Kluyveromyces lactis: one gene and its partner. The protein of the gene in region 1 purifies or fractionates together with the protein of each later gene. This does not show direct contact. Links are inferred from orthologs where the notes say so. Each region holds a gene or a part of one and is shown in the gene's direction. Other genes may lie near its edges.

Region 1 (3,307 bases):
TTGTGCATATTCACGAGAGTTGGACAAACACGGTGATTCGGGTATGAAGTATTTCACATGAAGTCTAACCCCAAGTTTGGCAAGTTCTCGACTCAATGACCTTAATGCATCGAGCTGGAACTTCAATTTCCATCCGCTTTCCATATGGGCGATCCAATCGTGCTCGTTGATTACGTATAGTGCCTCAACAGAACCACTCTTTGACTGGTTCAACGCGTACGCTAATCCTGTATTATCACGGACACGTAAATCACCCCTAAACCAATGGATCACTAGCCTGTTATCAACCGTATCATCCAGCTGTTGCCTTGAATTTTTGCTGTCAGCATGGATAGAGTCCCCCAACAACGCTAGAGGTCTTTCCCTTTTCCCATTATTAAACTCATTCGCTTTTTTGAAGGTGATAGGATTACGATAGTAAACAGGGTTCGGACTGAGACACTCGGAGACGTTTTTTTTTATAGAATTACTGTTGCCAACCCGCATAGTTTTCTTATGTCCCACTTTTATTAGCCTTGCCTTAAGAATAAGTAGCAACCTCAAAATCAGTAGTAATCAGAAGCAATTGCACGCCTCTATTCAGCTTTAACTTCCTTGACAAAAAATTCGAATTACTGATATCGGAGTCTTGAAAATTTCACCGTTGGTGCAGTATGTCTTATAATATTCCTTTATGATATTGGAGAAGCACGGCGTTTCGAACGGTCTTTAAGTAAATTGTTCTTTCTTCAAAGGAATCACTCACACACAGGACTGGTATTGAATTGGATTGCAATCTCCACTACTGATCAAATATTGGTCTTACAATAAATGACAAGTATGGAATGGGGCGCCCTTCGTTCTGTTTCATTGGAATATTTTTGTCTGATGGCATAGATACTCACTTTTAAGGTTTTCTATACCGTTTTGCCATGCTCTTTTGTATGTCGGAAGATTGATAGCAAAAATACTACGGAAATGAGCAAGAATGACAAGTCAAAAGTGGTTGCTTTAGAACGTGTAGTCCTGACATATAAATGTATATACATACCTAACTGGGCGTTTGTGGTTCCTTGCGATTTCCACCCAATGCTGAAGCTAAGATAACGTGCTGTGTCTTCCTAAGATGAACAGAAAGGAACATCGAAACATGGACAAATCCAAATACCATTTCAATGGTTCAATATTTTTCAGAAACCCGCCCTATTATTCGAACTGGTAATATATAGGTTTCCGCCGCAGTTAGCATGTACGATGTTCATAGTAATCGTTATGACATCCGTGGTTTTTGTTCAAGAAAACAATCATAAGGCTCACAACTTTCATTGCTATAGACGCTGTGACAAAAATATCTTCTATTTAGGACTAGGATGTCCTCGATTCTGTGATGCTGTAGCACTACTGCAGCATTACTACTAGCAAACGCTACTAAATATTCAACTCATGCACTTATTGTTGACCTAAGCCCTTATTCATTATACTGTCCGGAGTGAAAAAAAAAAAAAAAAAATTCTCGTAATGCATTCCAGCCTAAAATAATACAAGAGTGTCATCCCAGAAGCTGCAATCACCAGAATATCATTTAATTGTCAAGTAATTTGAATCGCTTGGTGCTGAGGAAATAGACCGGCCATGAGCTTTTCAAGAAACGCTTTTAGTGCGTTAGTCGGTGTTGGTACCGTGTCGTACTTTTGGGGGAAATCTAGTGCACTATCTGGCGGAAACTCTGGTACCTCATTCCCGGGATCCACTGGTAGTAGCAATAACATTCCATCAGATCCCAGTTCCTCAAACCAAGCTGGTCGCGTCTCGTTAGTTGGAAGTAACGTTGATCCTGGTGCATTCTTCAAGTACGGATTCCCTGGGCCAATTCATGATCTGGAAACAAGACAAGAGTTCATCTCGTGCTATGATAGGAGAACAAGGAACCCATACTGGGTACTTGAGCACATTACACCAGAATCCTTAAAGACAAAGGGTGCTGATAGGAAGAACTCTATATTCAAGGAAGACGAGCAGATTCCAGAGATGTTCCGCGGTCGACTAAAGGATTATTTCAGATCCGGTTACGATAGAGGACATCAAGCCCCTGCGGCGAACGCGAAGTTCTCCCAACAGGCAATGGACGATACTTTCTATTTGACTAATATGTGCCCTCAAGTGGGTGAAGGTTTCAATAGAGATTACTGGGCACATTTGGAGTATTTCTGCAGACAATTAGTCGATAAATACAACAGTGTTCGAATTATGACAGGTCCCTTATACTTGCCGAAGCGAGACCCCAAAGACGGTAAGTTCAAAGTCACATACGAGATGATTGGAAATCCACCTAACATTGCAGTCCCAACGCATTTTTTCAAGTTGGTCGTGGCTGAAAGACCTAAGCAGCTTGGAAATGGTCGTGATGATGAGCTGCACGTTGCCGCATTTGTCTTACCAAATGCTCCTATTTCGAACTCTACAACATTAATAGAGTTTGAAGTACCCGTCAATGCATTAGAAAGGAGTTCCGGCCTGCAGCTGTTGCAGAATGTTCCAAAGGAGAAGAAGAAGGAGTTGTGTAAACAAGTGCGGTGCGAAATAACTGTAAGAGAGTTTAATAATACTGTTTTAGCATTGCCTGGGAAGTAATAACGTATATAGATTTGGCCTAGGTGTGAATATATAGGGTATAATAAACACTTTAGCAAAAGAATTTTGGGTTCTTAGTATTACAAACTAGGCAATGTGACTGTTCCACTTCCAACGCACAAGTGTAGCAATACCTTGTATTGCAGCAAGTGATTGTAAATGCATTTGTAGCGACCTCACCACAAACAGGGCATAAAGTATTCTTTTGCGAAAACTTCTCACCAGGGGCCCCAACTGAAGAACTACCACCGGCAATAGCCTTTGCAGCTGCCACCGCAGCTGCGTTAGTACTTGTCACAGAAACGAATCCGTTTTTAAATAACGATAGACCAGCTATCATCTCAATGGAAGCATTCCAGAGCATCTGAACCTCAGATGCTGATGATCCTGAAGTAGTATCAGAATACGAGAATCCCGGTTGGAACACTGCAGGGACTCGGAACAATCGATGCAAAAGAGAGGGACCACCTGTACCCGACGTTAAAAATTGTAAAAGATGGATCAAATCTAAAAGTTCGTAAACCAAATTGGTCCTTTCAAACCGATGCAACAGATGTCTTAATACCACGGTAACAGCAAATAACCGCCAACGAGAGCATTGATAGCCAACACCAGTGAGAACACTACCATATGTTGCGACACTACCCTGATGCCATCGCCTACTCCCAAGTAAGAATACCAGAATTTCAACAACTAT
Region 2 (2,857 bases), on another chromosome or scaffold:
TTGTAAGTTCTTTGAAGCGGGAACTGACCACTCTAATTTCTGTGCACCATCCATGTATCGTGAAACTCTTTGCAATCAATGATACCACGTTTATTACAGATGAACATCCATTGTACGGAAGGCGTAAGCTCTCTGCTTTACCCAGATGTGATATGATAATGTCATATTGCACTGGTGGTGATTTGTTCGATTTGGCTAGCAAAACTAAAATTCCAAACTGGCTACTCACCAGAATTATCACAGAATTATCCGTTGCCATAAAATATTTGCATGATAATTTTATCATTCATCGGGATATTAAACTTGAGAACGTCTTATTAAAGTATACTCTAGATGATATGATGTTATTAAAAGAGGACGAGAGCCAGTTCTTTTCAAAGAATTTCGTAGAGTTAGCAGATTTTGGTCTCTGTAAGAAGATAACCCCAGATGAAATGTGTACAACCCGTTGCGGGTCAGAGGACTATGTTTCTCCTGAAATTCTCTTAGGACTTCCGTATGATGGAAGAATCAGCGATGCTTGGGCCTTTGGAGTAATTACTTATGCATTGTTGGAAGATAGGTTGCCGTTTGACCCCTTACCTGGTCAGAGTTCAAGAAGAACCCGATCCATTGCCCATAGAATTGCAAGATGCGACTGGAAATGGCTAAAGAATGCAGACACCGATCATCCTGCCAAAGAGATAGTCCAGAACACACTCGTAAGAAAAAGCGAACGTTGGAACATGGATCAACTTTGCAACACACCCTATATTCGTAACATTATTGATAAATTACAGTTTTTAGACCATCAAGGATAAATTATATAGATCAGCATTTATATACACAACCAACATACATTAAAATCTAATGAAACCTGATATTCTACTCAACGAACATTCATTAAAAGTATACCTTCTAGGATCTTCAATTATTGCATTCTGCGTGCCAGCTTGTCTTTCATTTATTGTTAACGTTGTTATGTAGGTAATGTTGTTACCTTAAAAATCCAAGAATTAACTTGAATACGAAATTTAATCTCGTTACAGTACGCTCACTGATGAAATTGATAAAAGAAGAAAGGAAAATAAGAAGACTACTAGAAGCTAGGATCAGTAATTGGTGCTACTATTGACAATCAAAACTACATAACAACTATGCCTATCGAGGAAACTGAAACTGAAATCATCCTGACACATCCTAACAATTCATCAACAAAAGCAAGAATTCTAAAGTATGGTGCCACGGTATTTTCCTGGGAATTAAAAGGTGAAGAGCAATTATGGTTATCTACTGCTGCTAAGCTCGATGGTTCCAAACCGGTTCGTGGTGGTATTCCATTAGTTTTTCCAGTTTTTGGTAAGAACCATGATGATGAACATCTAAGTAAATTACCACAACACGGTTTAGCAAGAAATTCCGTATGGGAATTTTTGGGCCAAGTGAAGTCTAACCCTCCAACCATTCAGTTAGGCTTGGGACCTGAGTTTGCTAATGAAGAGCTAACCAACTTGTGGCCATTTGAATACTCTTTGGTGCTATCAGTAGAACTTGGTGATGAATACTTGAAAACTGAAATTGAGGTACTAAATACAAGCACTACGCAAAATTTGAAGTTCAATTGGTTATTCCATACTTACTTGAAAATTGATGACATTGAAGATACGTTGGTTTCTAATTTGAGCAGCACCAAATTGTACGATCAACTATTGAAGGAAAGCTATATTGACAGACAACCTGTGATTTCTGTGCATGAAGAATTAGATAGAATTTATCAAAATGTTGACGAAGACAGAATCATCCAAGTGATCGATAAGGGGTACCCAATCCATACCTTGAAAAGACACAACCTACCAGATACTGTCGTTTGGAATCCGTGGGTGGAAAAATCTAAAGGTATGGCAGATTTTGAACCAAAGGATGGGTTTAAAAATATGGTGTGTGTCGAACCAGGTCATGTTCATGATTTCGTGGTTTTGGCACCAGGCGAAAACTGGGTTGCCTCCCAGATTTTGTATAAAGATGAATTGAAGTTCCAAAAGGTCTAAATAGCTTTTTATTCAAAGCCGCTCAATATCATAATATATAATAGAAATTTTTGTTCGTATTTATACACCTATATATGCGCATGACTGTATACAGCAAATAAATGAATTAAATCTTGATAGAAATCGCCTTTGCAGACCATCCGATCATACCTATTCAGCTTTTTCTTCGTCATCTTCATCATCTTCTTCTGGTAATGCCTCATCCAGGTTGATTCCGGCGTCAGCGAAGGCTTGTGGATTGAAACCTTGTTCCATTCCAGGGAAGCCAGCGCCCCCCATTTGGCCAAATTGTGACATCAAGTCGTTATCAGCAGCAACATTCTCTTCTTGTTCATCTTCGTCAACCCATTTATCAAAGTCGGTTTTAATGTAATGATACTTAAGCTTCTCCTTGGTCAATCTGGGCCAGTATTCAAGGCCTAAATCTTTCTTCCTTAACACCAAAAAGTAGTTTCTACCGTTAGCTACCCTCTGCTCCGAGTTTTCCGTATCAATTGGCTTGTAGAAGTCAATGTGCAAATGGTATTTGATCCCATCTTTACTGTGATACTTAGATAGTGCACTGAATTCCAAAGAATTTTCGGTTAATTCCATTTTAGGGTTCGTACAGTCTGGAATATTGATGGTAATGAACAAATTGTTCTTGGTATCATCGGATTCGCTTGAACGTTGAGCCCATAAAACTTCTGGAGTGTGAACTGACATGTTAATTTGATTTATTGATTGGTAATTGGCGGTTTAAGTGTAATTTGTTCCAATTGTACTCTCTTTGTTTGAGTAACAGTTTGTATGTGAACGCAATATTTGTTATTAACATTTTCTGTAACTGC

Evidence for each region.
Region 2: the proteins of NUC1 (region 1) and KLLA0_C14300g purify together in Saccharomyces cerevisiae (affinity purification with mass spectrometry; 4 studies listed by BioGRID, with this or other methods). This does not show direct contact. The link is inferred for Kluyveromyces lactis from reciprocal best matches to the Saccharomyces cerevisiae genes NUC1 and YMR099C.

Annotation. Positions count from the first base shown.
Region 1 is NC_006040.1:38,594-41,900, reverse strand, and holds NUC1 (ribonuclease), read left to right. Parts: upstream 1-1,611; coding exon 1,612-2,610; downstream 2,611-3,307. Other genes in the region: deoxyribodipyrimidine photo-lyase PHR1, read right to left, coding at 1-486; PEX2 (ubiquitin-protein ligase peroxin 2), read right to left, coding at 2,663-3,307. UniProt on the Saccharomyces cerevisiae protein: This enzyme has both RNase and DNase activity.
Region 2 is NC_006039.1:1,241,816-1,244,672, forward strand, and holds KLLA0_C14300g (glucose-6-phosphate 1-epimerase), read left to right. Parts: upstream 1-1,136; coding exon 1,137-2,027; downstream 2,028-2,857. Other genes in the region: serine/threonine protein kinase PRR1, read left to right, coding at 1-800; Hsp90 cochaperone SBA1, read right to left, coding at 2,178-2,732. UniProt on the Saccharomyces cerevisiae protein: Catalyzes the interconversion between the alpha and beta anomers from at least three hexose 6-phosphate sugars (Glc6P, Gal6P, and Man6P).